Linked DNA regions of Oryzias latipes. The protein of the gene in region 1 purifies or fractionates together with the protein of each later gene. This does not show direct contact. Links are inferred from orthologs where the notes say so. Each region holds a gene or a part of one and is shown in the gene's direction. Other genes may lie near its edges.

What was found.
Region 2: the proteins of sec16a (region 1) and protein transport protein Sec23A purify together in Homo sapiens (affinity purification with mass spectrometry; 3 studies listed by BioGRID and IntAct, with this or other methods). This does not show direct contact. The link is inferred for Oryzias latipes from reciprocal best matches to the Homo sapiens genes SEC16A and SEC23B.

Annotation. Positions count from the first base shown.
Region 1 is NC_019870.2:8,815,565-8,819,381, reverse strand, and holds part of sec16a (protein transport protein Sec16A), read left to right. Parts: intron 1-91; coding exon 92-206; intron 207-285; coding exon 286-484; intron 485-863; coding exon 864-1,032; intron 1,033-1,435; coding exon 1,436-1,578; intron 1,579-1,844; coding exon 1,845-1,906; intron 1,907-2,624; coding exon 2,625-2,763; intron 2,764-2,860; coding exon 2,861-3,103; intron 3,104-3,183; coding exon 3,184-3,281; intron 3,282-3,358; coding exon 3,359-3,440; intron 3,441-3,575; coding exon 3,576-3,693; intron 3,694-3,785; coding exon 3,786-3,817. UniProt on the Homo sapiens protein: Acts as a molecular scaffold that plays a key role in the organization of the endoplasmic reticulum exit sites (ERES), also known as transitional endoplasmic reticulum (tER).
Region 2 is NC_019859.2:30,187,331-30,191,147, forward strand, and holds part of protein transport protein Sec23A, read left to right. Parts: intron 1-1,205; 5' UTR 1,206-1,212; coding exon 1,213-1,433; intron 1,434-1,633; coding exon 1,634-1,691; intron 1,692-1,791; coding exon 1,792-1,878; intron 1,879-1,998; coding exon 1,999-2,235; intron 2,236-2,342; coding exon 2,343-2,425; intron 2,426-2,512; coding exon 2,513-2,657; intron 2,658-3,817. UniProt on the Homo sapiens protein: Component of the coat protein complex II (COPII) which promotes the formation of transport vesicles from the endoplasmic reticulum (ER).

The DNA of each region.
Region 1 (3,817 bases):
TCAACCGATCTGAACTTTTTTTTATAATGTTTGCGTAAAATCAGTTTTTGTCAATTCTTTGTCATGATTGAACATTTTCTCTTTTGCAAAGGATATTATGGACAATTGGACCCACGATACAGAGGATACTATGATCAGTCATACTGGTCTTACTATGATGACACATACAGAAACAATTACTATAATCAGCCTGTGTATCCTCAGAGGTATGCATTTTAAATCCTGGGGAGTAAAACTGAGGTTGTATGTTGTGTTTTTTCTAAATATACATTCCTTTTTGCGCAGGAAAGAGGGGTATGAAGACCAGTGGAAGTACTATCCTGGTTATGACCCCAGCTTTGATGATGACAACCGTTGTGGCGGCGAGATGTATGGGGAAGACTTTGATCGGCGCAGCATCCACAGCGAGCAGTCGGCACACAGCGTCCACAGCTCGCACAGCCACCACAGCAGGCAGAGCAGCTTTAGCTCCCGCTCACAACAGGTATTTGGACTGCACACTGGATTTTTGTTGTCTTTTCTTGGTTCATAAGTTTTAACAACAAAAGTCAAATAATTTCAATTTACTAAATGTTTTTCCATCCTCTGCAAAACTTATTTGCTTTTTTAACATGACTGTGCAGTCAGACTGGTGGAACACTTACTCCTTTCAAATAATGCTACACATGTTTTAACAAAATTGCAATTTTGAGTGTAAAACTGCTTAAAGTGGTCAAGTAGACCAGTGAAAGGTTTGTGAAAAAGTCAGCCTCTTTTGTCAGAACTTGTGTTTGGGGAAAAAAGTTTTTCTCTGTTGTTTATAATGATTATTCTGACACTGAAAGGAGCCTTTTTATTTTTCTTCCATTTTCTCCCCACTAAAGAGCCAGATTTACAGGAGTCAGCCTGACTTGACAGTCGATGTTTGTGACAACACTTCTATGGCTGTGAACTACTCATACGCGCAGTACCCCGATCAGACTGATGCCACCCAGAAATACCTCTACTCCTCAGATTACACCACAGACGGCTCCTGGATTGCCCCTAAACAACGTAAGTATATGATAAGATAAATCCTGTTTGGGATCCACCAGGGAGAGATGAAAATGTTGGATGCTTCTAGAGTGAGGGATTTATGAAATGCGACTCCGAGAGTTATGCTGCTGTTGAGCATTAGTTGACTTAAACCAACAGAGTCAAGTTCTAAATAAATTGATCATTAGAAGCACAGGAAGCATGGAAGTTCAGAAGTTTCTCTGGAACAGACTGAACTGTGTTTCCCACCACTGAGATTGAAGTTTTTGACATGAGAAAAAAAGTGAAACTTGCAAGGCAGAGGTACTTAAACATCAGGATTGGGAAGCAAAACCCTCGGTTTAAACACATCTTTTAAATGTTAAAATCCAAACAAAGGTTTGGTGAAGTACTTTCGGTCTGACTCTCATTTCTCTTGTAGCTCCCCCTCGTCCTGCAACGCCAGAAAAGTTCACCATGCCTCACCGCTGTGCCCGCTTCGGACCCGGTGGTCATTTGGTTCAGGTCTTACCCAATCTTCCCTCAGCTGGACAGCCAGCTCTGGTTGATATCTACAACCTGGAGGTACATCTGAACAGATTGTGTTTGTCTGTCCTCATAGGGACACATTAGTAACTCAGACACATTTGCTCATATGTAATGACAACATTTTAACAGGATTGTTAGTTTAATACATTACACATACAGGAGTTTCCTTTCTTTACCTCATTAAGATTATTTGCATTGCTGGTTTCCCTTTTTAGGATAATGCTTCTTAGACTCTTATTGTGAAAATAAAGGCTAAGAACTTGCAGTGTGTTCACCCTCTTGTTCAAATTAATTTTTTCCAGACCATGTTGCAGGACACTCCTGATCAGGCAGAGCTACGGGCATTCCCTGGTCCTCTCATTAAGTGAGCTATTCAACTGTTATTTAAAAATATCGTTTTTTTCATCTCTAGATCTTACATAAAACTACAAATCCAAATTAATTAGCAAAAATTAAATATGTTTTAATGTTCTCTGTAAGGCAAAGATACTGGTTCAAAAAACTGCAGAAAAAGAAACTAAAATAAACGCGCTCCTTGTTTGTGTTTTGGTCTTTGCATCAAAACTTTGACAATTGACTTTAACAATCACCAATACTTACAGCTCTTTAAAAAATGTTTAATGTAATATTTCATTTTGGCCTTTTTTTTACTGCAGAATCATACGGTTAGCATACACAAAAGATTTAGAGAAACAGTTAAGCTGATCTTTATAATTTAATAAGGCATTATTTTATAAACTGCTGTTTTGATGAGGCTTCCATAATTGTTTTTAAAAGCTTGTAAACTCAAAGCTTGATGCAGAAATTTCTGCTATTTGTCACAAACCCTTTAAAAAAAGTGCTTTCATTTCTGGTTTTTGCTATGATTTTTTGAATGTAAACTCTTTGGGTACTTTGTTTAACTTGCAGGTGTTCACTGAATTTTAAAAATTGGCAAATATTAGCAGGCGCTGGAGTTTCCTTACAGTAGCAACTTAATTTAAACAGTTAATCTAATCTGTTTGATCTTAAAGTGTAGTGTGATATTTTTAAAAAGGATCTAATGTGTCCGTTATCTTCAACCTCTTGCTGTGTGTCATTAGAGGGGAGACCCATAAAGTGGACGTGATCAAATTCTCCCAAAGCAAAGGACTGGAGTGTTCCCGTGACAACAACCTCCTGGACAGGGATTCTGCTCGCCTGCTTTGGGACTTTATTGTGCTTCTTTGCAGACAGAATGGAGTGAGACTATGCAGATGTAGCCTCAAATAACTAAGATGCAGAGTATATTAAAAAAAAGATTTTGCCGAAATATCACTGTTTTCTTTTGTTTCTTCAGACCGTCGTCGGTACCGACATCGCTGATCTATTGTTGAAGGAGCATCGCTCTGTCTGGCTGCCCGGCAAAAGTCCCAATGAGGCAAATTTGATCGATTTTAATAACGAACCCCTGGCACACGCTGAGGAGGATCAAGGAACTGGACCGCTGTCTCTTCTGTCCGACACCTTTATGACTGTCCCAGAGAATGTTGGCAAGGAAACGGAGCGCTTCCGAGAATTGCTCCTGTTTGGCCGCAAAAAAGTAACAAAGACCTCTTTGCACTTTATTCAAAGAGTTTCTAAGCTTTGAGAGCTGAACGTTTATTTTTTTCTGGGGAGTAGGAGGCTCTGGAAGCTGCCATGAAAGCTGGTCTCTGGGGTCACGCGTTACTGCTGGCCAGTAAGATGGATAGCCGAACTCATGCACGTGTCATGACAAAGTACAAATTTGTTCCTCTCAAAGGTTTTTCTTCAATTTATCCCTATATTTTAATAACTTTTTGTTTTGGTTTATTAGGTTTGCAAATAGTTTACCAATGAATGATCCTCTTCAGACGATTTACCAGTTGATGTCAGGAAGAATGCCTGCATCAGCCACCGTGAGTTTTCCTTCTGTCCTTCATTTCTGATCTTTCTTTTGCAGCCATCCTCTTTCACTGGCCACGTTTAAAGCATATTGAGTTCCGTGTCTTTGTTGCTGCTTTAGCTGAGCTGTATTTCAAATTTTTCTGTAGTGCTGTGGAGAGGAGAAATGGGGCGACTGGCGTCCTCACTTGGCCATGGTGTTGTCAAACCTTTCACAGACTCTGGACTTGGATACTCGCACAATCACCACCATGGGTGACACTCTTGGTAAGGTGGAAATGAAAGGAACACCATTTCATAGTGTTTAATTGAGTATTTGAATGTTTTTTTTTTTTGTTTGTTTTATTTGTTCTGGGCAGCTTCTAAAGGTCTCACTGATGCTGCACACTTC
Region 2 (3,817 bases), on another chromosome or scaffold:
TATTTTTTTTATCGTTCTATTCAGACGGCAGCAGAAAACAGTTTGACTCCTAATAAGAATAAAATTGTTCTTAAACAGAATCCGATCGTAAAGATTATACGTCAACAAGGAAATATTCCAATCCACATTTCCGACTCTGTAATGTACTTCAATACTGTACAGAAGACTGATCCTTTATTTTAGAACTACATACGTTTTTTTTTTTTTTAAGTATCCTGAAGACTTTGGTTTGAAAGTTGGCCTGCACAATAAATCGCAAATTTACTGTTATCGCTATATCAAGCTGTGGAATACGCATATCGCAAAAGACGGCGAAAATTACAATAAATGGTTACCTGAAATGTGCTAGAACGATGTTATGGCAGCTTGAAGAATTTCACGAGTCAAATAAATCCTTTTATGGATTTGACCAATCGGAGCGTTTTATGTTGGATGCTTGCCTCCCATGTAGACGAGGGTCATTTGGGGTATAATATAAGTTATGTCGACTCTTATTTAAATTAAACTGTTCCAGTGAAATGGAAATGTTTTTAGTTGCTTGTTCATGTACTGCCAGTTATATCGTCATGGCAATGCTAATTATTATTATCGAAATACGCAACTTTTCCTCATATCGTGCAGCCCTAGTGTAAAGTCAACATCAGAAACAGAAGCAGAGTCAAACCTTCCCTCAAGCCTGGAGGGCTTTTGTTCTCTGACTTAACCAGAAAACTCTGACTGTTTGGAAGGAAAAGTGTTGTTGAAAATCAAGGATTCCTTCTCTTGTTTTTTTTTGGGCCAGCAGACTGTGCAGATTTCAAATTCTTGAAGAAGTCGTCGGTTTGGTGTGACAGTCCCACAGGGGAGTTGCTACAACAAGCTCCTGGAGAATCTTTGCAAAGGGCGTCACAAATGCCTTATTGACACACCGATCTAAGTCGTCCCTGCAAAAATAGTACCTGTCTAATATTTGGACGCACCTTCCCATTCATGTTGGTATTTCAGCGCCGTTCCCATCGTCATTAAACCAGCCGGTCTGGTTTTCTGGTGACGCGGTTGTGCGTCAGGCCTCTTATTTTAGCACCAAAGAGGCAGGTTTAAGTCTTTAAAGAGGTGACTCTGGTTAGAGACGGCAGCAGAACTGACAGGAGCGCGTCCGGGCAACACGGTTTTCAGTCTGAAGGAGGCACCTCACTGACCTGAATCGGGTTCTTTCTGTGCCCCAGCTCAACGATGACCACCTACCAGGAGTTCATCCAGCAGAACGAGGACAGAGATGGGGTGAGGTTCAGCTGGAACCTCTGGCCCTCCAGCCGGCTGGAAGCCACCAGGCTGGTGGTCCCCGTCTCCTGCCTCTTCACACCTCTGAAGGAGAGACCCGACCTCCCCCCGGTTCAGTATGAGCCGGTTCTGTGCAGCCGGGCCAACTGCAAGGCTGTGCTCAACCCTCTGTGGTAAGTTTTCCTCCAAAATATTGCTTTCTTCTGATTCTTCCATGTTTTAAAGTGTCTGTTTGAAGATTTCATGAACGTTTAAAACTCTATTCTTTTGATGAGGCTCTGTGTTTTAGCTCATTGTTTCCAAATGATCTGACATATTCCAGTGCCGCTGACAGTTTAAGAAGCAGCTTTTTGTTTGAATCCTCTTCTTACAGCCAGGTTGACTTCAGGGCCAAAGTGTGGGCATGCAACTTCTGCTTCCAGAGGAATCCGGTGAGTGCTGAAGTATTTGACATCTGCCCCCGCGGCTGAACACGACCCGCTGGCATTCTTTTTGAGTGGGTTGTTAGAATCTGTCTTTGTGTTTGTGCAGTTTCCTCCTTCTTATGCCGGAATATCAGAAGTGAACCAACCAGCTGAGCTGATGCCGCAGTTTTCCACCATCGAGTACATTGTTCAGGTAAACACTTTGACACCCATGTCTTCAGAGTAGGGGGATGACTCCCCTTTTTAAAAAAACAAACATTTATTTGTTATTATAGATGGGGAAAATGAAATCATCTTTCTGTCCTCTTCACAGAGAGGCCCTCAAACCCCCCTGATCTTTCTGTACGTCGTTGACACATGTTTGGAGGAAGAGGACCTCCAGGCTCTGAAGGGTTCTCTTCAGATGTCCCTGAGCCTGCTGCCCCCCAACGCCCTGGTGGGTCTCATCACCTTTGGGCGGATGGTCCAAGTTCACGAGCTCAGCTGTGAAGGCATCGCCAAGAGCTACGTGTTCAGGGGCACCAAGGACCTCACCTCAAAACAGATCCAGGTTGGTTCTGGAGAGAATCAGGAAAATTAGGTTGATGATGGATAAAAACGTAGGATGAAGCCCGATGAAGGTTTGAAACGTTTCTCCATCTGCACGTCTGCTTTCAGGAGATGCTCGGTTTGATGAAGCCTGCAGCCACCGGACCTCAAGGTCGTCCCGTGGCTCCCCAGGATGCCGCTGCATCGTGCAGGTAGGAGGGACAAGATCTAGACAAGACAAGACATCCCAGTCTGTTTATGTTGAGCCGTTGTTAAGACTCCTGCGGGTTCTTGTCCAGGTTTCTGCAGCCCATCCACAGAGTGGATATGAATCTGACAGACCTGCTGGGGGAGTTGCAGAGAGACCCCTGGCCCGTCCCCCAGGGCAAACGGCCGCTCCGCTCCACCGGTGTCGCCCTCTCTGTTGCCGTTGGCCTTCTGGAGGTACAATAATCCCTACAGACATCCGTCCTCTCCCTCCCATGCTCTGCATATAAAAACGAATTAGGGCCTGGTTGTAACATGAACTTTGGCCGCTCCGCCACAGCTGGGCCACATGTCAGCGCTCAGAAAGACGCACGGCGCCTGATAATCATCTGGTGCTGTAACCGTAGATTTACTCTCAGTTCAAAGGCTGCTTCCTTTTTGCCATCTGTCTTTTCCCTCTTCATCCCCTCTCTTCCCATTTTGATAATCTGTCCCGTTACGCAACTCAAGAGTGTCAAAGATCAAACCCCCGCTAAAGTCTTCATCAGCCAGGGGCTGATATGTGCTGATTTCTTCTCCTTCCCTGAGTCCGAGCAGCAGAAACCTGCTTTCCTCTCTTCTGTGTGAAATCTCTGCTGGTGTGGAGCATCAAACCACTCTGTGCTGTACTTTCCCAAACTCCTGCGCTTTAGAACGGGACTGTTGTCCCAGACTCCTGCGCTGTAGAACGGGACTGTTGTCCCAAACTCATGCGCTGTAGAACGGGACTGTTGTCCCAGACTCCTGCGCTTTAGAACGGGACTGTTGTCCCAAACTCCTGCGCTGTAAAACGGGACTGTTGTCCCAGACTCCTGCGCTTTAGAACGGGACTGTTGTCCCAGACTCCTGCGCTTTAGAACGGGACTGTTTGCCCAAACTCCTGCGCTGTAGAACGGGACTGTTGTCCCAAACTCCTGCGCTGTAAAACGGGACTGTTGTCCCAGACTCCTGCGCTGTAAAACGGGACTGTTGTCCCAGACTCCTGCGCTTTAGAACGGGACTGTTGTCCCAAACTCCTGCGCTGTAAAACGGGACTGTTGTCCCAGACTCCTGCGCTTTAGAACGGGACTGTTGTCCCAAACTCCTGCGCTGTAAAACGGGACTGTTGTCCCAAACTCCTGCGCTGTAGAACGGGACTGTTGTCCCAGACTCCTGCGCTGTCGTCGGCTTTTGCCTGCTTTGTAGCTGCCTCCCTTTCAGCTGCATTCTTCGCAAGTCCAGAGCAGAGGAATGTCGTTGAACAATGTTTGGAATCACAAACGTGTCACGTTCTATAAGAATGCTGCTCCAACTGGAGTCAAATCTGTGATGTGAAGCAGCAGGCGGAGGACTTAAATCTGCTCCCGTCTCACCTTCAG